Linked DNA regions of Oryctolagus cuniculus. The protein of the gene in region 1 binds, or shares a complex with, the protein of each later gene. Links are inferred from orthologs where the notes say so. Each region holds a gene or a part of one and is shown in the gene's direction. Other genes may lie near its edges.

Region 1 (7,211 bases):
GTTCCCGCCAGTCTCAGGGCCTTTGCACAGAAACTCTACTCTGTCTGCCTTTCACTTCCCTGCAGGCGCCTGTGTAAGTCTTTATGTCGTGCACCTGCTGCTTAAGATGCACCGCCTTCTCTGCTGTGGTTCTTGGGTTAGAGAGCCCGTGTCTTACTCCTCAGGCACCCCACTTCCTGCCTAGGTGAGGACCAACACCTTGTTGGCCTCTAGTCAGTATTAATTAAACCAGTACCAGAGACCACAGTAGCTGTAGGCCTCCCCAACAGCCCTCGCTGTCCCCTGGGGAAGACGGCCCAGAGTGGGCAGAACTGGGGTAGGCAGCCCAGGGAAGGTTTCCTGGAGAAGATGGCCTCTGAGGCAGGACCTGGAGAGTGAACAGGAGTAAGGCAAGCAGAATGGCCAGGGAGGGGCTCGTGGTGCGCCACATAGTGGGAGTTGTGTGTGTGAGGGCCGGGAGCCGAGGCCAGGCCTCCATGTGTTGGGGTGAAGTGTGTATATTATAGCTGGACCATATCGGTCAACAGGAGGGTGAGTGATGAGGCTGAGAAGTGGTTGAGCCACCTCTGGCTCGAGGATCTTGGACTGTGCAGAGGACCCTGGGGAGCCATGGAAGACTAAGTAGGGAGATGGGATGAGATCTGTGGTCTGGAGTCCTTTATGTGTTGCTCTATCAGGAGTGTACTGGGTGGGCATGGTGGAATCAGGGGCTGGGAGTCCAGGAGGCTCCGCTGTTCCCAGGAGAGCCATGAAGAGGAGGGAGACAGGTGGAAGAGACCCCCAGGAGGCTGAGTGGACAGACCTCAAAGCTCAGGGTTGTCAGGGAAGTGACCACATGATGTCCAGAGGTCAGGTTAAGGACTGGGGACTGTGGGGCTGCCCCTGAAACCAGGGCCTAGGAAAAGGAGCACGTGGGGGAAGAAGCCGGCCAGAGCTGGGGCCGTGGGGCACGAGTCCGAGAAGCTGCCCCCTTCTGGCCTGAAACGGCTGCATCTGGTGCTTCCCCGCTGATCCGGGCACCCCCTACTGCTGCATAGACCCAGGCCCCGGAAGCTGGCCCAGCCTGGCCTTTGCTGCCGCCGAGTCATCTTGGGAAAGTGACTTGCGTGTTGCGAGTGAGCCTGAATGCGGGCTCAGTCCTGTGCTGGACAGGGCAGCTGAGCAGGCTGTGCCCCTGCAGGGAGGCATGTGCTCCGTGTACCTGAAGGACAGTGAGAAGGTGGTCAGCATCTCCAGCGAGCACCTGGAGCCCATCACCCCCACCAAGAACAACAAGGTGAGGCCGGGGGCCGAGGGGCGGGGGCCGAGGGTGGGGGGTGGAGGACGCGGGGCCCTGACTCTGACTGCCTCCCGCAGGTGAAGGTGATCCTGGGAGAGGACCGGGAAGCCACGGGAGTGCTGCTGAGCATTGACGGTGAGGACGGCATCGTCCGCATGGACCTGGACGAGCAGCTCAAGATCCTCAACCTCCGCTTCCTGGGGAAGCTGCTGGAGGCCTGAGGCGTGCCTGGGGCCGAGGCGCAGGCAGAGTGGCCGGGCTGGCCGGCCTGGACTGCCTTGGTGTCCTCTCTGGGTCACCTCCCCCCCATGCTCCTAGGAATCAGAGTAGAGTCCGGAGGAGGGGCCCCACTTTCTTGTACCCCAGCCCCCGGCTTGCTTTTGAGTTACGATCTTTCAATAAAAAGCTGTTTGGTCAAAAGTGCTGAGCCTGGTCTTTTTTAAAATTTAATTTATTTATTTGAGGGGTAGATAACAGAGATCTTCCATCCACTGGTTCACTCCCCAAATGGCCACAACGGCTGGAACTGAGCTGATCAGGAGCCAGGAGCCTCCTGGGTCTCCCACGTGGGTGCAGGGGCCCAAGGACTTGGGCCATCTTCTGCTGCTTTCCCAGGCCATAGCAGGGAGCTGGGTTGGAAGTGGAGCAGCCGGGACTCGAACCGGCGCCCGTATGGGATGCCCGCCCAGCGCCGGATGCCTGAGCCTGGCCTTGTTTGTAAGTGGGGTCAGTTCTTACCCAAGCCTCAGCTTCCCCACGGAGGAAAGACCTAGGGAAAGGCGAGGAGAGCAGCGTCCAAGCCCCGCTCGGCAGGAGGAGGAGCAGTGGAGAGAACTGCCTGGGTCCCGAGCCTCCTTCCCTTCATTTGACACGGGGACAGCGCCACCTGCTGGCTCGCCCCACCTGCCGGGCGCTCAGCCCCGGTCTCCCGTGGAGTCGGCCCTGGAGCCGGGTATCAGACCCAGGTGATACGGTGTGGGACGCTGGGCGCCCTAACCGCTAGGCTACACGCCCGCTGCTGGTTTCACTTAGGGCAATTAGGAGGTGAAGGCAGAACCCCCCAGGGGCCGAGATGAGCTGATTCCTTATCAGTTTTTGGGGGCAAATCGGGTAGCCGTGAGTGTGACCCCTGCCCCTGCCACGTCCAGTTTCAGTACCAGTGGTGCTCCCCAGGACTGGAGCTAGGTGGCCATATCCCGGCTGACGGGCCCCGAGGACAGCCAGGACACTGGTCAGGAGCGAGCGCGCCGGCGGCAGTCCGCCCAAGGCCTTTTGGGTCTCTCGGGCTCCCGTCCGCCCGTCCCTCCTCTGTGCCCCGATTGGCCGCAGGCCCAGGTCGGGGCGGGCAGAGCGGGGAGACTGGGCGGGGCCTCGTGGCGTCAGCGCAAGATGGCGGCCTCGGCGGCGCTGTTCTCGCGCTTGCGGAGCGGGCTCCGGCTCGGCGCGCGGGGGCTGTGCACGCGGTTGGCGACGCCGCCCCCCGGGGCCCCAGACCAGGTGAGCGGGACAGGCCAGGCGCTGCGGGCGCGGCGGCCGCGCCTTGGAGTTTTAGACAGGGAGCTGCCGCCCAGTGGCTCTGGGATGCCGCACCTCAGGGTGCTGAATGGAACACTGCCCGCCCTTCGGGCCGGCTCCGTGCCTCCCGGAGCGAACGCTGCGCTCTCCTCCGGCCGGATGCTGGGGCCCGAGTGCACCCTCTGCACCTCCGCTCTCAGCCACGTGGGCGCCGGGGGCGGAGGGTCGCCTGCTCCCTACCTCGGGGACCACTCCGGCGCTAGTTGCGGGAGAGCCCCAGCCTGGCCTTGAGGTTTTCTTGTCCGCCTCGGGCGTGGGGCAGGTGAGCTGGACGTCAGGCGTCCAGTTCGACCCGCCTCCGTGCTGACGGGACCCAGCCATTCTGACCTCCAAGTCCGTGGCCTCCTTGCGCCACTTTCCCAACCCCCAGACAAGCGATCGCCCCTGCCCGCCCCCGCCCCTCTGGGCGTCCGGACGCCTTGACCTCCCGGCCCAACGCCCCGTGTGTGGGGCCCGCGGCGCTCCTGACACCCACGGCCCGCCAGCCCCCGCGCCCCGGGCTCCTTCCGCGGGACAGGCTAAGCGCCCTCCGCGCCGCAGGGCCTCACCCCCTTCTCCACCACAGGCTGCTGCGGAAATTGGGAGCCGCGGGGGAGCCAAGGCCCCGGGACCACAGCAGCAGCAGCCGCCGGGCTCCGAGGGTCCCAGCTATGCCAAGAAAGTCGCGCTCTGGCTTGCTGGGCTGCTTGGGGCCGGCGGGACCGTGAGCATCGTCTACATCTTCGGTGAGACGCCCCGGCCCCCCAGTTCTCTGTTCCCCTGGGGCCGCCCCTGGGCCACTCATCTTCACTCCCGGGCGCTTCCCTGCACAGGGCCACCAAGTAGGAAACCTGCTTTGGAAATCGGGGGTCTCCTTTCGTCTCTCTCACCCCTGTGTAAGGTTCTACTCTAACTGGTCGGCTCCTGTACGAGGCTGTGGGGAGCCACTGGAAGAGGGGAGGTGGGGAAGGCCTGGACCAGCCTCCTGGGCTGTGTCTCCTCCCTGCAGCCACAGTCCAGCACAGTCATCGCTCAGACACCAGGGGGCTCCGTCCCCCCCAACCCAGGAGGCCGTGTCTCTGGTGCACTTATGCCCCCTGTCCCCCATCTCCTCCAAGACCCAGGAGGCAGCGCCCAGCTCCTCTCCCTCACTCCTGTCTCCCTTGCAGGAAACAACCCTGTGGATGAAAACGGTGCCAAGGTGAGTGGAAAGAGACCAGAGGCCTTGCCAGGAGTCCCAGCCTGTGGGTGGGTGTCAGGGCCTCCTTTGGGTCCGCTCTGGCTCCTTTTGGGTCTAGGGCAAGCCCCTCCCTACCTGGAATCAGGCCCTGGAGATCGCTTTGCTGGGTGGTGGTGGGGTCTGCCTCTGCCACCCCAAACTTTGCATTTTCTCTCTGCTTCCCAGATTCCTGATGAGTTCGACAATGGTGAGTCAACAAGCAGAGACTGAGTCCCTGACGCAGCCAGCTCTGCCCATCTGGTGCCCCCAGCTCCTCCTTGCGCTGGGGGAGGGGAGCCAGCAGCTCGATGCTTTTCTGGGAGGGGCATCACAGAGACCTAGCCCTCAGAGAGCAGATGGTCAGAGCCAGGTGGGGGAGGGGAGCCCGGTGGCAGGGCCTGGGGACACCAGGCTGCTTATCCACAGACACGGCGTCTGCTGCCTTCGGTCTGAGCACCTGCCCCTCTCTGTGGCGGCCTCTGAGTTTACCCCCATTCAACCCGGCTTTGGATGGAGTTTGTTCTGCCAGATTGCAGAGTGTTGTTCCACCCAGCCCTGCCCGGGAGAGGCTGACATTGGTGCCTTCAGAAGGCCACTTGGCCTCTGCTGGGCGAGTTTGCACACAGGCACGGTACTGCACTAATTAAACTGGGCAAGCGGGCAGATGTGCTGTTTTAACTGGGCAGGTGTAGGACCATCCTGACTGGAACAAATCAACAGGCATTTCATTTGGTTCCTGGGCAGATAAACATCATGTTTATGTGTACTGCCTTAGCTGGTTTTAATAATGTGATTAAAGAAAAATTTATTATTTATTTGAAAGACACAGATCTCCCATCCACTGGTTCACTCCTCAAATATCTGCAACAGCTGGGGCTGGGCCAGGCTGAAGCCAGGGGCCTGGAGCTCAGTCCAGGTCTCTTACGCGGCAGGGACCCGAGGACTTGAGCCATCATCTGCAGCTCTCAGGGCACATGCACAGGAAGTAGAACTCAGGAGCAGAGCTGGGACTTGAGCCCAGATCCCGCTGAGTGGAATGGGGGACCCCCGTTGGCGTCCTGACTCTGTATCAAACACGAGCCTCTGTGCTATAGTATTGTTGAGACAGGCGCATCGGGAGAGCTGTGAAGCCCTGCAGGTACCTCCCCGCCTTCACAGAAGGTGTGTATTGTGAGAAAACTATGCGTGTGTTCAGTTGTTTTTACACCAAAACTACCTTTTAATTTTTTCCACCAACTTTGAAATACCTGCATCCTGTTTTAAAGTCATGGGAGACAGTCACAGGAGTTTGTGGTTGTGAGCTGCTGCAGGTGGGCTCTGGGGCCCTGGGTTCAGCTGCAGGTGGGCTCTGGGGCCCTGGGTTCAGCTGCCACGTGGACCGCCCACCTGTGTCCTGTGTCAGAGTGCTGATTCTAGCCAGCTGTCTGCCAATGCACCTGGAAAGCAGCGCTGATGGCTCATCTGCCCACCTGTTTGGGCCCCTTCTACTCGTGTGGGAGACCTCAATGGAATGCCTGGTTCCTGGCTTCAGCCTGGCCCAGCCCTGGTTGGTAGAGCCATTTGAGGAGTGAACCAGCTGATGGAAGATACCTCTCTCTCTCTCTCTCTCTCTCGCTCTCTCGCTCTCTCTCTCTCTCTCTCTCTCTCTCTCTGCCTCTCAAACGACTCAGCGTGTTTATTTAGAACAGATTGTGCACCCTCAGCCCTGGTGGCCCCGGGGCCAGATGATGCTTTGCTGCCCGTGTAGCTGGGGAGGGTATCTAGCATCCCCCCACCGGATGCCAGCGTCTGACAGCCAGAAGTGTCTCCAGAGGTTGCCTGGTTTCCCAGGGAAAGGGAGAGGCAAAATCGTTGCCAGTTGAGAACCGGTGGTTTCAAATACCCATTGTCCGTATGTATTGTGTGGCGTACTTAGACTCAGCACCGTGGCTCAAAGTGGGCAGACACGGCGCCTGCTCGCCCAGAATAGGCCGGGTGTGCTGGCGTGCTGTCCGCAGATTTGCGTGCGTGTTCCCGGCGGCCCGGCATCGTGTGGTCGGGAGTGTCCAGGCGAAACCTCCACCCTCACCTGACAGTGCGCGCTGCTTCCACCTCTGGGCTCGGGGCTGAGCCAGTTCACACCAGGGAGTCAGGATCAGACCGCTCGTGAACGCACTCTGTCTGGAGGGTGAGCAGCGGCTTATCCCGGAACCCTTGTGCCTGGTGTCCTAGATCCGATTCTGGTACAGCAGTTGCGCCGGACCTACAAATATTTCAAGGACTACAGACAGGTGAGCAGGGGCTCCGGACCCAGCCCCCGTCCCTGCACCTCCGGCCCGGGCCTCCTTGGCTGAGCTCCCGTCCCGCCCCTGTGCCACAGATGATCATCGAGCCCACCAGCCCCTGCCTCCTGCCAGACCCCCTACGGGAGCCGTACTACCAGCCGCCCTACACGCTCGTCCTGGAGCTCACTGGTGTCCTCTTGCACCCTGAGTGGTCGGTGTGTCCTGGGGAAGGCAGCAGGTTGGGGGCTACCCCTGGGCAGTGGGTTATGATGCTGTGGGCCTCCTGTGTTACCTCGGAGAGGAGGTGGCACGTCCCCCTGCCTCGCCGTCCTCACTACCCACTCTGAGGGGGTTCTTTGGCATGCCTCAGCACACAGTAGGGCCGCGAAGGAGTCCGCTCTCGTTCTGGGCCCCCGCCCTGACCCCCAGGAGCTGGGTCCTTGTCCCCTGGGGCCCCTGAGTGTCAGTAGTTCACCGTCCTCTGTCTCCCCAGCTGGCCACAGGCTGGAGGTTTAAGAAGCGCCCGGGCATCGAGACGCTGTTCCAGCAGCTCGCCCCTCTGTATGAGATCGTCATCTTCACGTCAGAGACCGGCATGGTGAGGCTGGGGCCCAGGCTGTGCGGCCAGTGTGGCTGGGGCAGGGTGCCCCGGGCCAGGGCCCAACCTGACCTCTGTCTCCCACCCTGCAGACTGCATTCCCGCTCATCGACAGCGTGGACCCCCACGGCTTCATCTCCTACCGCCTGTTCCGGGATGCCACACGATACATGGATGGGCACCATGTGAAGGTGCTGTGTGCGGGTTGCGGGTGGGCCTCTGGGTGCAGGGGCCCTGTCAGAGACGAGGGACCGGCTCTGAGCCTGACCTCCACCCTGCCTGTGGTTCTGCCCAGGT
Region 2 (6,990 bases), on another chromosome or scaffold:
ATAAATAAATCTTAAAAAAAAATAGTACCAACGGTCATTACCAGTATGATTAACCACAAGGTCTAAGCCAGCCACACTAGGGTATTTTTTTAATTACTACTAATTTTTTTTTTATTTATTTGAGAGGCAGAGAAATAGGGAGAGGGAGACAGCCATCCACTGGTTCACTCCCCAAATGCCTACAAAAGGCCAAAGCCCAGAACTCAATCTGTGTCTCCCATGAGGGTATCAGGGACCCAAGTACTTAAGCCATCACCTGCTGCCTCCCGGGGTGCATGTCTGCAAGAAGCTGGACTAGGAGCAGACCTGGGGCTCATCAGACCCAGACACTCTGATATGAATGTGAGCATCCTGAGCAGCATTTCAAGTGCTAGGCCAAAAGCCTGCCTTCTAGCACACTAGGTTTGTAATAGACATCGGTCATCAATAAGGTGACAATAGATGTAGTTTCTAGTGCCTAGCACACTATAGCCCAAAATAGATGCCAGCTTTTCTATTAGTGATAGTAGGTGGAATTAGCAGCCAGCAATATAATAAGCCTATATAAGAAATCCTGTCATTTTATATAAAAAGTTCATGAAAAATACATATTATGGAAAAACTATGCACAGATTTAATTTCTTTTGCACCAAGTTAAACTTACTTTTTAAAATATTTACTTATCTACTTGAGAGAGAGAATGAGCATGAGAGCACTCCTACCCTCTGGTTCACTCCCCAAGTGCCCAGCAGTGAGGCTGATCCTGGGAGCCAGGAAGTCAAACCAGGTCTTCCATGTGGGTGGCAGGAAACCCATTACTTGAGCCATCACCCTGCCTCCTGGGGGTCTGCATTAACAGGAAGCTCAAGGCAGGAGCCAGAGCTGGAAACTGAACCTAGGCACCTGCTAGGTACCCTGACAACTGGCTTAACCACTAAGCCAAACAGCTGTCCCTAAACTCACCTTTTCATTTTTCCACAAACTTTTGGAAACACCCTCAGTGCTAACCATCATGTGCATTTCAGGCATTTTGGGTGGTCTAAAATACATGTTAACTCTGTTTCCAACACAGCACTTCTAAAATACATTCTATCAGTATGGTAAACAAAAGCAACATCCTGGGGCCTGATATTGTGACAAAGTAGGTTAATCATCTGCCTGCAACTTTGTTAAGCATCCACCTGCAGCAACGGCATCCCATATGGGTGCCAGTTCGAGTCCTTGTTGTTCCACTTTTCATCTAGCTCTCTGCTGTGGGCTGGGAAAGCAGAAGATGGCCCAAGTCCTTGGGCCCCTGCACTCGTACAGGAGACCAGGAAGAAGCTCCTGGTTCTTGGCTTTGGATGGGCACGGCTCCAGCCATTGCAGCCATTTGGGGAGTGAACCAGAGGATTGAAGAGTTTTCTCTCTCTCTCTGCCTTTCTGTAACTCTACCTTTCAAATAAATAAATCTTTTCTTTAAAATATTTTTAAAAGATTTTTATTTGAGGCCGGCGCCGCGGCTCAATAGGCTAATCCTCCACCTAGCGGCGCCGGCACACCGGGTTCTAGTCCCGGTCGGGGCGCCGGATTCTGTCCCGGTTGCCCCTCTTCCAGGCCAGCTCTCTGCTGTGGCCCAGGAAGGCAGTGGAGGATGGCCCAAGTCCTTGGGCCCTGCACCCCATGGGAGACCAGGAGGAGCGCCTGGCTCCTGCCATCGGATCGGAGCGGTGCGCAGGCCGCAGCGTGCCGGCCATGGCGGCCATTGGAGGGTGAACCAACGGCAAAGGAAGACCTTTCTCTCTGTCTCTCTCTCACTGTCCACTCTGCCTGTCAAAAAAAAAAAAAAAAGATTTTTATTTGAGTCAGAGTTACAGAGAGGCAGAGGCAGAGAGAGAGATACACAGAGGCAGAAAGAGAGAGAGAGAGAGACAGAGGTCTTCCATCTGCTGGTTCACTCCCCAGATGGCCACAATGGCCAGAGCTGCGCTGATCCAAAACCAGGAGCCAGGAGCTTCTTTCCAGTCTCCCACACGGGTGCAGGGGCCCAAGGACTTGGGCCATCTTCCACTATTTTCCCAGGCCTCAGCAGAGAGCTGGATTGGAAATGGAACAGGCTGCACTTGAACCAGCCCATTTGGGAAGCCGGCACTGCAGATGGCAGCTTTACCCGCTACACCACAGCACCAGCCCCAAATGAGTAAGTCGAAAAAAACAACAACATCCTGGACTTGACACATAGCCTATTAAATACTATGCATTTACCTCCATGTGATTCGTGGAGGCCCGAAATTTGCATCAGTGTTGTGTATTGTTAAGAATGAAATATGCATCTTTTCAACCTCCCCCTCCCCCCACAAACACACACATTGCATGGTTTGCAAAAGGAATGGACATCAGGAATCCTTGCCATGCCACGGCTTAGAGCACAGAAGGTCCACGCTGAGTGTTTAGTGTCCATATCAATGAAAAAAGGGCCTATCAGGCTTGATACATGATACGCCCATCTGCTCTTAGCTCTCTTACCAGGCTCCAGATGTTTGAGGATGCCTCTCTTAGCCAAGCGAGTCTGCAGCGCGACGGGCAGCGGCATAGCGGGTGACAGATCTGGGGACAGACAGACTGATGAGGATTCAAATCTGGATCCCATAACCCAGAGCTCATCCCTCCCGTAGCATGTACTCATCGGACTCTCACCTTCCCAAATACACCAGGAGCTAGCTGGGCGGACTCAACCTATGCGCTAAAACACGAGAGACAAGAGGCTTGCAAATGTCACAAAACTCCTTCCAGCCGCTCACTTACTAGGCCCGGAGCTCCAGGATCCACTTCCTCTCCCGGGCTCCACCCACCGCCAAAGGCGCCAAGCGCAGCTTCAGAAACTGGCTCACCCAACCTCCCTCAAAGACTGCTGGGTGGGAAAAACCAAAGCCCTGGGGTGGGGGAGCGGAATGCAGCCCTTCCTCCAGCTCTGCAAAACCATGCCCCCCTCCCCCTCCCCGCGTTACCAGTACAGTCGGGCAGGTAGAAAGAACAGCCTCCTTCCTCTCGCCACTGCTCTGATCACCAGGACCACACCACTCGTTTCCCCCAAAGCACACAACGGCGTACTCAATACCCGAGCCAAGACGTAACTGGAAGACGCTGGGACTGCAGTGGAAAGATGACGTTATCCTGGGTGTCCAATGAGAAGCGTCCTGCGTTTGACGTGGCGAAGCCACCCAATCGCTGTCCTGGGATAGGCGAAGAGCTAGAGCGCCTGTGGTGCGTTTCCACTGGGGGCGTGGCCCACAGGATTCGGGCCTGACTGTGCCTCCAGACGCCGGCGCCATGGAGGAGTATGCTCGGGAGCCTTGGTACGGCGATGGGCACAGGCATCGGGACTGTTGCTGCCCCAAGACCAGCCATGGGAGGCGGGCGGGGGAGGCACCGGCCGCACAGTGCGGCGTCCCAGATTAGGGAGACTTAGAATCTTCTCGCCTTCCGCTCCCTGTACTTCCTTCCTTTCGGGGTTCTTTAAAAGGGGCCACAACTGTGTGCCCAGAGAAGGGGCGGTACAGGACGAACCACGCCATGTTGTCCCTGGCTTTGTGGCTCCTGTTCCTCTTTGTTAGCGAGCAGAGACGCTGGTCCAGTCCATTCCAGCGTGGGTGGAGGGTGGCACGCATGGTTTTTCCCAGGTCGCTTGTGTGAATCGGGGCGGGGCATGCGTGAACCTATTGTGGGTGAGGAGGGGTGCTGGATTTTCCCAACGGGCCTCTGGGTTTTTCTCAGTTGTGCTTGGTTTAAGAGGAGGAGGGGACAAGGCTTGGTTGGATGCCACTGTCCCAGAAGGGGCTGTCACCTCGTTTTTAATAACTAGCCAGTTAACACTTCCGTAACCCTTACTGAAATGCGCCAACTCTACATGCCTCAGTTCATTTAATATTTGCTAGTAAAGTAATTGGCTGATTCCTTGGATGCCTGCAAAAGGTGATCAAGGCAGAGACTATTATTTTTCCCCTTTTGCCCCATTTCTCGATTTCATCAGGGAAAAAGAATGACAGAACTAGCTCGTTGTTATCTGAAGTGTTTCTTCTCACTCACAAACTTGCCATTCCAGTGACTGGTTTCTCCCACTTGGAGAGAGTCCAGGGAGGGGAGGGGCTCCCATTAACCCCAACCTTCCCTTCCGGTTTTTCAGCCCATGGCGAATTGTGGATGATTGCGGTGGAGCCTTCACCATGGGTGTCATCGGCGGCGGAGTCTTCCAGGCCATCAAGGGTTTCCGCAACGCCCCTGTTGTGAGTCCTGGCCCACCGGGTGGTGTGGGGGTCAGCAGCCTTGCCCACATAGGACGCTACTCTAAAAGCTGCTTGGAGCTGCCAGGCCAATGCACTTAACTTCTTCTGGTCCCTATTCACCTACTATGTGCCAGACCTGGCTCCTGGACCTGGGGAACTGCAGATGTGACCTCTTGTCCCCTTCCCCCACCCAGCTGGACCTCCTCGGTGGAAATGTGCTGTAAAAACATTCTTCCCCAGTCCCGAGTGTGTGTGTGTGTGTGTGTGTGTGTGTGCAAAACCAAATAGATTTTAGAGGCAGATGCTGGGTCTTCAACCTGGATGGAGTGAAGTGACAGAAGGAGGACAGCCTTAAAGTTGAGAAAATCATTTTAATTTAACATACTTCGGTTTATTTCCCTGACTCCCCTCCCCGCCAAAAAACAAAATGTCATCAAATGTCATGGCTTTATGTATCACCATTTGTCATGATCTCTTGATTTATTTGAGAGCCAGAGGGGCCAGGAGAGAGCACAAACGAGCAAGAGAGCACACTCCCGGGCCGGCGCCGCGGCTCAATAGGCTAATCCTCCGCCTAGCGGCGCCGGCACACCGGGTTCTAGTCCCGGTCGGGGCGCCGGATTCTGTCCCGGTTGCCCCTCTTCCAGGCCAGCCCTCTGCTGTGGCCAGGGAGTGCAGTGGAGGATGGCCCAGGTGCTTGGGCCCTGCACCCCATGGGAGACCAGGAAAAGCACCTGGCTTCTGGCTCCTGCCATCGGATCAGCGCGGTGCGCCGGCTGCAGCGCGCCGGCCGCGGCGGCCATTGGAGGGTGAACCAACGGCAAAGGAAGACCTTTCTCTCTGTCTCTCTCTCTCACTGTCCACTCTGCCTGTCAAAAAATAAAAAAAAATAAAAAAAATAAAAAAAAAAGAGAGCACACTCCCCAAATGTCCACAACAGCCTGGGCCAAAGCCAGGAGCCAGGTACTCAATCCAGCTCTCTCAGATGGATAGCAGGAGCCTAATGACTTGAGCCATCACCTGCTACCTTCCAGGGTCTGAATTCACAGGGAGCTGGACTCAGGAATTGGGGCTGGAAGGCATTTATGTTAAGCTGCTGCTTTTGACACCAGCATCCCATAGCAGAGCTCTGGTTCAAGTCCCACCTGATCTGCTTCTGATTCAGCTCCCTGCTAATGCGCTTGGGAGGGCCATAGAAGATGGCCCAGGTATTTGGGTCCCTGCCACCCACATGGGAGAGACTCAGATGGAGTTCCTGGCTCCTGGCTTCAGCCATTTGGGGAGTGAACCAGCAGGTGGAAGACCCCTTTTTCTGTTTTTCCCCCTCTCTCTGTCCCACTGCCTTTCAAATAAATAAAATAAATCTTAAAAACAGGAACTAGTGGTGGGGATCAAGCCCAAGCACTCCAATATGGGATGTGGGTGCTTTAACCAATAGGCCAAATGCTTGCCCCAGTCTGTAATTTTTAAACAAATGTTTTATTTATTTCCCTCTACTTGAAAGGCAGAGTGATAGAAAGAGAGAGCGCCCATGCGCTGGTTTACTCTTCAACTGCCCACCACAGCCAGGACTGGACTAGGCTGAAGCCAGGAGCCCGGAATTCCATCTGGGTTTCCCATGTGGCTGACAGGGGCACAGGCACTTGAATCATCATCTACTGCCTCCCAAGATGTATTAGCCGGAAGTTGTTTAGGAAACAGAGCAGCCTGGACCTGAACTGGCACTCACATATGTGATGTTGGTATCCAAAGCAGGGCCTTAAGCCACTGCACCACAAGGTCCAGTCCTCTGCAGTTTTTATATGTAGCTCTGTCCCTCCTCTCAACTCCTGGAACTCCCTTTCCCAGATCTTTGTGTTTCTCATCGTCACAATTTCAGCACAAATGTCCCCTTTGTGAAGAGGCCTTTCCTGTCCCTCAGCCATGATCACTTCTCTTAACCTGTCTCCTCGGAGTGCATATTGCTGCCCGCATCTGTCTTGTTTGTGTGTACTCTTGCTCAGGATCTGCCTTCCACTGATGTAAGCTTTGGGAGGACAGAGCCCGGATCTACCCCATTCGCTGCTGTATCCCTGCTTGTAACATAGTGCCTGGCACATAGTAGATGCCCATTAGTCATTCATTAAATGAATGAGCCAACAAATGAATGAATGAACACTTACCAACCCAGCTCCAAGGATACTCATGTTGGGGTGCTCACCAGGCCCCTAGTTCTTTGCTGCTTCTCAGTATTAAACAGATCTCCCATTCCCTACATTCTCTTAAAAACTAGAAGCCCTGTCTACTAGTGGCCGGGACCCTGCCCTGACTCCCTTCCTTACTTTCCCCAGGGAATGCGGCACCGGTTGAGAGGTAGTATCAACGCGGTGAGGATCCGAGCCCCCCAGATTGGAGGTGAGGGGCTTGGGGAGACACAGGACATGTGATGGCAAAGGTGGGGGTAAGGTGATCCTTTAGGACTAGACTACAAGTTGGGGGTCCAGATTGTAGCCCTAGCTCTGCCTGAGACTTCCCAGGTGGGTGGCATTTTCCAACAACTGAATACCGAGGGGACAAGAATCATTTCTAGAGTTCAAATCCAGGTCCTGTGTTACTTTTAGTTTAGAGGTGGTTATGCTAAGCACTTTAATATTCTTTTATTAAAGATTTATTTTATTTATTTGAAAGAGTTACAGAGTGAGGTGGAGACACACACACAGAGAGAGAGAGAGAGAGAGAGAGAGGTTTTCCATCCACTGGTTCACTCCCT
Region 3 (7,305 bases), on another chromosome or scaffold:
CTCTCTCTCTCTCTCTGGCTTTCCTTCTCTCTCTGTGTAGCTCTGACTTTCAAATAAATAAATAAATATTTAAAAAAATATCTATTCAGGGGCCAGTGTGGTGGTGTAGTGGGTAAAGCGGCTGCATACAGGCACTGGTTCAAGACCCTGCTGTTCCTCTTCCGATCCAGCTCTCTGCTACGGTCTGGGAAAACAGTGGAGAATGGCCCAAGTGCTTGGGCCCCTGAACTCATGTGGGAGACCTAGAAGAAGCTCCTGACTCCTGGTTTTGGATCAGCCCAGCTCCGGCTATTGTGGCCATTTGGGGAATGAACCAGCAGATGGAAGACCTCTCTCTCTACCTCTTAAAGAGATAAATTTTTAAAAAAAGTATTTGGGCCGGCGCTGCGGCTCACTAGGCTAATCCTCCGCCTTGCGGCGCCGGCACACCGGGTTCTAGTCCCGGTCGGGGCGCTGGATTCTGTCCCGATTGCCCCTCTTCCAGGCCAGCCCTCTGCTGTGGCCAGGGAGTGCAGTGGAGGATGGCCCAGGTGCTTGGGCCCTGCACCCCATGGGAGACCAGGAAAAGCACCTGGCTCCTGGCTCCTGCCATCGGATCAGCGCGGTGCGCCGGCCGCAGCGCGCCAGCCGCGGCAGCCATTGGAGGGTGAACCAACGGCAAAGGAAGACCTTTCTCTCTGTCTCTCTCTCTCACTGTCCACTCTGCCTGTCAAAAAAAAAAAAAAAAAAAAAAAGTATTTGTTCATTTGAGAGGGAGAGAGAGAGAGTTGTTCCAGTGGAAAGTGAGCCCAGAGTGAGATGTCTGAGGCCGCTCGCTGGCCTCTGGAGCAAGGCCTCCCAGAAGAGCGAGGTCCTTCAGGACAGGGGCTGTGAGGACCCAGGAGCGGGGACCAGTGCTCGTGTCCGGACCTCTGCTTGTGAACTCTGAAACTCGGTCTCTTCCCTGTGCAGGTTACCGACTGATGTGTCCGCATGGGCCGTGGGGTGCCCAGATCACGTGCTCTTGCCAGGGGTGTTTCTGAGGGTCTCTGGCCGAGAACAGTGGACTCAGGAGGACAGACTGCCCTTCCCAGTGGACCGGAGCAGCAGGCAATCCACCGAGGGCCCGAGTGGGATAAATGGCTGAGGAAGGAGGATGTGCCCTGATATCGTGGGCTTCCCTGGGCCCCGGGCCTTTGGTCTTGGCCTGAATTCTACCGCTGGGTCTCCAGCTTGCAGAGACCGCTCACGGGACTTCTCAAACTTCGCAAAGCGGGGAGCCAATGCCTCATAACACTCATAACACAGAGCTACCCAGCATCTGATTGGCCGCGTCCCTCTGGAGATCTGCGGCCATCCCTGATTACTGAGTCAAAGGAAATAAACTCAGGACAGTGCTGTGGTGCGGTCACTTCAGCCACCGCTTAGGACACCTGCACCCATATCACAGTGCAACCGGGAGAGCGCTCTGGCTCTCTGCCTTGCAAATAAGTAAAAGAAAATGAAATTTCAAAAAATTAATTTTAAGGGCAGGTGTTTGGCACAGTGGTTGATTCCACTTGGGATACCTGTATCCCACATCACTCTCTGAGTTTCAGTCCCAGCTATTCCCCCGAGTCCAGCTTCCTGCTAACAACCATCCTGGGAGGCAGCCGATGATGGCTCAAGTACCTGGATCCTGGCTGTGGCCTGACCCAGCTCCACTGTTGCTGCAGATGGAAGATTCTCTCTCTCTCTCTCTCTCTCTCTCTCTCTCTCTCTGCTTTTCACACAAATGAATACTTTTTTTAGGCTTTAGAAAAATACAACAAGCACAGGTACATAAACCAACACTGCCCACCAAGGAACAAGAACAGCTAGCAGCACCGCCAAGGGCTTGCTCTTTTATATGGAAATCTGGTCAGAGCCAGACAACCAGAGGACTGGGTAATGAATATGGAATAAGCGCTCAGGCAGGTAGCAAGCTAAAGGATGGGCCTGGTGAGACCAGGAAAAACATCCCCGGCCCCCGCGCAGGGGCTCACGCCCACGGGGCCTGGGGGCCCTGGTGAGACCAGGAAAAACATCCCCGGCCCTCTGCGCAGGGCCTCACGCCCACGGGGCCTGGGGGGCTGGCTGCACACGCATTCCCGCTCTGGGCTTCCATGCTACCCCTCTCCCACAGCCTCTCTTCGGCCTGCACCATTCATCAGAGCGTTCTCAATTACGCGCACGCGTTCCAACAGGCCATGCGGCCGACGAGGTTGTCCCCGCGTTGCTGGTAACCGCCAGCTCTGCGGCGCTGGGTTCGCCTCCCTGCCTCACCCCCAAGCTTCCAGGGGGCTCTCACGTCGACTGCAGAAGCGCAGAATGCAGGCGAGCTGCCCGAACCACGGGGCTGGGCCCACGGGAGGGGAGCCTTGTCCCGCAGGTCGAGGGCGCCACCCGCACCTGCAGCTCGCACTACAAAGGACCGAGGCGCTGGCTGCCCTGGAGGCGCGGCGTGCGGTAGCAGGACCTCCCCATCCAGGGGTTCAGAGTTCACAGCACAAGTGCCGAAACGGAGAAACGGTGAACCCTAGCGGAGTAACACCAGGTTTACCTCAGGCCAAGGCACCTCGGGTGACTGCTGTAATAAGAACTCCGTCACTCGCTAGCTCCCCGCCCACAGGGCGCGAACCCGCCGCCTTCGAGGACTTGGGCGGGGCCAGAGCGGCCACGACAAGGGCCCCGCCCCGCCCACATTCTTCCCCGCTCCCATTGGCTGCGGCGGGAAACCGCGAACCAATCCTCATAGACCTTAACGCCCCCTCTCGGGATCACTTCCGCCGCAGGGGTCAGGCTCCACCCAGTTTGCCCGGCATCTCTCGCGCCACTGGAGTCAAGATGGAGGAGTACGCTCGGGAGCCTTGGTGAGTCTTTTCCGCTGCCCTTGCCTCTCTTTACGCCCTGCCCACGGCCCTCGTTCTCCCTTTTACAGCCTCCCAGGGTGCCTGCCGAACTCCGCCGCGGGCTTCTGGACATGGGCAGTCGGGACTCGAACGGCCCGTCGGCTTCCCGGTCCCCGGCCGCGTGAGCCTCGCCGCACCCGACCCAGCGCCTGGGACCTGGCCGTGGGTGGGGAGGAGGTCCAGGCTTGGGCTTGACAGGGCCTCAGAACGTCCTCCCAACGCAGGGCGCAGTGGACCTCGTGTGGGGCCAGTAGCAGTCTCCTGTGCCCGCCGAGGTGACCTTGGGCACGTCCCTCTGCTAGGGAGGAGATAAGCCTCGAACCAGTGCCGTTCTGGGGCCTTGCAGACGGGCGTTACGCAAGGTGTTGGGATGAGCTTCAGTAGGACAGAGCCTCGATTTCTTGCTTGGAATTCTCCCGTGGGGAAGGGGGTGGGCTTCACAAGATTATTCGGAAAATAGAAAAAGCGTGTGTGCTCTGGACAGCCATGAGCAGAGACTCGTTCATTAATTCAGCGTTCATCGGGTGCAGGTTCTGCGCTGGCGCTCGGGTAGGTTCAGGGAACAGAAGCTTAACTAAGTCAGCAGAAACCGTAATTATGGAGCGTGGAACCGCTGTCAGAGCCTCACCTTGTTCTTTGAGGGCCTAGGTGAGGAATCACTCTTGGTGTTTGGGTTAGGCACCTGTTTACTGTGTGAGGGCTGGAACCAAGGTGTCCTCAAGCTGTGGAAGTGCCCGGGCCTTTAAATGACTACCTGGTAGCCCTGTGGTCTGCTTCATGCCGCCCCCCACCCCATGTATAAGACGATGCAGCCCCTCCTGCTCTCTTCAAAGGCCTCCTAAGCCGGCGCCGCGGCTCACTAGGCTAATCCTCCGCCTTGCGGCGCCGGCACACCGGGTTCTAGTCCCGGTCGGGGCGCCGGATTCTGTCCCGGTTGCCCCTCTTCCAGGCCAGCTCTCTGCTGTGGCCAGGGAATGCAGTGGAGGATGGCCCAGGTGCTTGGGTCCTGCACCCCATGGGAGACCAGGATAAGCACCTGGCTCCTGCCTTCCGATCAGCGCGGTGCGCCGGCCGCGGTGGCCATTGGACGGTGAACCAACGGCAAAGGAAGACCTTTCTCTCTGTCTCTCTCTCTCACTGTCCACTCTGCCTGTCAAAAAAAAAAAAAAAAAAAAAAGCCTCCTAAATCCTGCTCAGATGCGCAGACCTCAGCACACCGCGAACTGCTGTTGGATGTGCTGCAGAGCGCAGGTTGGCAGGGAGATAGAAGATTTGACATTGCTGAGTTAGATATCATAAAGAACGATGGGTTTCCTTTACCAGATCATCAGGCAGCCCCTGTGCTTTCCCTTGGTGCATACGTCCTGGAGCAGTGCGGTAGTTACCCAGTTAGTTAGTAGTCAAAGCTGCTCTCATCTTTTCTGAAAGGTTTACTTGTTTGTTTGAAAAGCAGAGCTTCAGAGGGATCTTGCACGTGCTGGTTCTTTCCCCAGTTGGCCACAACAGCCAGGGCTGAGCCGGGCTGAGCCAGGAGCCAGGAACTCCAGCCTGGCCCCTCACAGGAATCCCAAGCCCTTTGGCCATCATCTGCTGCTTTCCCAGGCACATTGGTGGGGAGCTGGATCAGAAGCAGAGCAGCTGGAACTTGAACCAGTGCCCTGAAAAGCCTCCGCTTAGCCTGCCCCGCTGAGCCACAGTTCAAGCCCCTGCTTTGATCTGATTGCCCTTGGCACTTCCTCAAGTCATCGAGCTCAGAACTAGAAGAACCCCCCAGCCCCAGCCCCAGTATGTGCAGTCTGTAGTCTTTGAAAAATTCTTTCTTTCGGTTCCTCTGACCAGGATTTTACCTGATGCCCTTAATGCCTTTTACAATAGCTTCCTAATTGCTTTCCTTACCTCCAGCACCATATGATAAATCATGTGGCTTTAATGATCCTCAAGACTTCATTTTCCTAGAACACACAGGCTGCGTGATGAAGTGAGAAGAGCTTGGGGGCTCGGGAGAACTGTATTTTAGTTAAGTTGGTTCTCCTAGGTACTGCCTACATGACTTCTGACAAGTTGTTTAATCTCGGAGCGTCTGTTCATCTGTAAAATGGAGAGGAGACAAATACTCTTTTTTCAGAGTTAAAAGATCAGTGATTCTGTAGGAAAGAAATCTAGCTTTCTTGGAAGTTATGGTTTTCTATGCATTGTAAAGCACTTGACTGCATAAAAGAAATTTACATACAGTGGGTTGAAAATGAATTTAGCAGATTCTTATAGACCATATTCCTAGGGTAGTGGTTCTAGTCTGATCAAATTCCTGAGATCTTGGTACATTACATAACTATTTAGGCTACATTTGGAGCTGGTTGTTAAGAGTGGTTCAGTGTGCTAACTGGATCTGATACAAATGAAAGGTTCAGGTGCTTACTTGGATTCACTAAACCTGGACATTAGCATCAACTTTCAGAACTTTAAAAATTTCCTTCTCGGGCTGGCACTGTGGCGTAGCGGGTAAAGCTGACGCCTGCAGTGCTGGCATCCCATATGGGTGCTGGTTTGAGTCCCGGTTGCTCCACTTCCTATCCAGCTCTCTGCTATGGCCTGTCAAATAAATAAATAAATAGACTTAATGAAGAATCAATAGCTACAGAGAGAAGAAAAAAAATTTTTTAAAGATTTATTTATTTGAAAAGCAGAGCTACAGAGAGGGAGAGAAAGGTCTTCCATCCGCTAGTTCACTCTCCAGATGGCTGCAACAGCCAGAGCTGGGCTGATCTGAAGCCAGGAGCTAGGAGCTTCTTCCAGGTCTCCCACCTGGGTGCAGAGGCCCAGGGACTTGGGCCATCTTCCACCACTTTCCCAGGCCATAGCAGAGAGCTGGATCGGAAGTGCAGCAGCCAGGACTCGAATTGGCACCCATATGGGATGCCAGATGCAGGCAGTGGCTTTACCCATTACGCCACAGCACCGACCCTCTTCATTAAGTCTTAGCCTTAAAGTTTATAGCTACCAAAGAGCTTACCCCATCTTGATGTTTGTTTAAATAAAGTGCTGGTAAGAGTAGGAGGTTAATGTTAATTCTGTTCCTTCCAGCCTAGCTGACTTGGGGCTGAATAGCTGTGGACGTCCTCAGAGTCCTTGTTTTTTAGGCCAAATGTTTATCAGTTGCAATGTGCTCTGTATTGGAATCTGTTGCATCCTTCTGTGTTAGCAAACAAGGTTTTATGGTTTGTGAAAAATACAGTCATCTTTTTTTTCCCCTGTCCTCAGCCCCTGGCGAATTGTGGATGACTGTGGTGGGGCCTTTACAATGGGTACCATAGGTGGTGGTATCTTTCAAGCAATCAAAGGTTTTCGCAATTCTCCAGTGGTAAGTGGGCAAATGGTTTTATTTTATCATCACTTGAAACCTGGGTTTGGTAATATTACTGGTGACGTCGTCCGGTAAACTTCTGATGTATCCTTGGTTGCTTCCTTTTTTTATAGGGAGTAAATCACAGACTACGAGGGAGTCTGACAGCCATTAAAACCAGGGCTCCACAGCTGGGAGGTGAGCGGGATTTCTTCCATTTGTACTACAAAATGTGCCTTCCCTGTTTATTTGAAGATGGAGCAGTGTTTTTCTTTTTAAATTAAAACCTGTTTGGTTTAACAGCTTGTCACAAACTAATATCCCTGGAGGTTCTTCTTGATTTATGTTTTATTTGGAAGGTTAACTGTAATTACTGTATCCATTTGATAATCTTGTCTCAATGTGTTAGACAGTGATCCTCCCCTCCCCCCACCTTTCTCCAGAAGGAGGACAATGTGCTTCAAGCTCAAGTTTGAACTTAATTATTCATTACCTGGGATAAGGAAGGTGACAGATTATATTCACTTACAAACATATGCAGTGGTCAGATTGAATAGATTGTATTTGAGACAAGGAAAAGGCCTACTACTTCAGTCATTCCTGCAAAATTTTGTGGATCAGAATAACTTTCTCTTTTTAAAAAAAAAAAACATTTTTCTAATAGCTACAATTTATGAGTGCTTACAATTGCTAAGCACTGTGCTAAGTGTTTTCCAGCATTATTATATTTAATCTTTACAGCAGCAGAAGTTCTTAGTGTTGTTATCTCCATTTTCCAGATGAACAAATTGAGGGAGGCCCAGAGTTGAAGTGATCCTTTTCTGTGTGCGTGTATGTGTGTATGTGTGTTCTAAGATTTATTTATTGATTTGGAAGGCAGAGTTACAGTGAGAGAAGGAGACAGAGAGAGATCTGCCATCCATTGATTCACTCCCCCAGATAGCCGCATCAGCTAGGGCTGGGCCAGGCTGAAGCCAGGAGCCAGGAGCTTCATCAGGTCTCCCACATGGTTGCAGGAGGGCCCAAGCACTTGGACTATCTTCTGCTGCTTTTCTC

Evidence for each region.
Region 2: TIMM50 (region 1) and TIMM17B share a complex: the UniProt entries of both Homo sapiens proteins name them as parts of the TIM23 complex. The link is inferred for Oryctolagus cuniculus from reciprocal best matches to the Homo sapiens genes TIMM50 and TIMM17B.
Region 3: TIMM50 (region 1) and TIMM17A share a complex: the UniProt entries of both Homo sapiens proteins name them as parts of the TIM23 complex. The link is inferred for Oryctolagus cuniculus from reciprocal best matches to the Homo sapiens genes TIMM50 and TIMM17A.

What each region holds. Positions count from the first base shown.
Region 1 is NC_091449.1:15,487,877-15,495,087, reverse strand, and holds the start of TIMM50 (mitochondrial import inner membrane translocase subunit TIM50), read left to right. Parts: upstream 1-2,620; 5' UTR 2,621-2,668; coding exon 2,669-2,776; intron 2,777-3,419; coding exon 3,420-3,579; intron 3,580-4,002; coding exon 4,003-4,034; intron 4,035-4,238; coding exon 4,239-4,260; intron 4,261-6,263; coding exon 6,264-6,322; intron 6,323-6,411; coding exon 6,412-6,531; intron 6,532-6,809; coding exon 6,810-6,914; intron 6,915-7,006; coding exon 7,007-7,105; intron 7,106-7,211. Other genes in the region: SUPT5H (transcription elongation factor SPT5), read left to right, coding at 1,181-1,276, 1,357-1,500. UniProt on the Homo sapiens protein: Essential component of the TIM23 complex, a complex that mediates the translocation of transit peptide-containing proteins across the mitochondrial inner membrane. Has some phosphatase activity in vitro; however such activity may not be relevant in vivo.
Region 2 is NC_091453.1:34,070,945-34,077,934, reverse strand, and holds the start of TIMM17B (mitochondrial import inner membrane translocase subunit Tim17-B), read left to right. Parts: upstream 1-3,150; 5' UTR 3,151-3,288; coding exon 3,289-3,314; intron 3,315-4,141; coding exon 4,142-4,241; intron 4,242-6,571; coding exon 6,572-6,635; intron 6,636-6,990. Other genes in the region: PQBP1 (polyglutamine-binding protein 1), read right to left, coding at 2,485-2,551. UniProt on the Homo sapiens protein: Essential component of the TIM23 complex, a complex that mediates the translocation of transit peptide-containing proteins across the mitochondrial inner membrane.
Region 3 is NC_091444.1:17,856,960-17,864,264, forward strand, and holds the start of TIMM17A (mitochondrial import inner membrane translocase subunit Tim17-A), read left to right. Parts: upstream 1-2,792; 5' UTR 2,793-2,844; coding exon 2,845-2,870; intron 2,871-6,167; coding exon 6,168-6,267; intron 6,268-6,383; coding exon 6,384-6,447; intron 6,448-7,305. UniProt on the Homo sapiens protein: Essential component of the TIM23 complex, a complex that mediates the translocation of transit peptide-containing proteins across the mitochondrial inner membrane.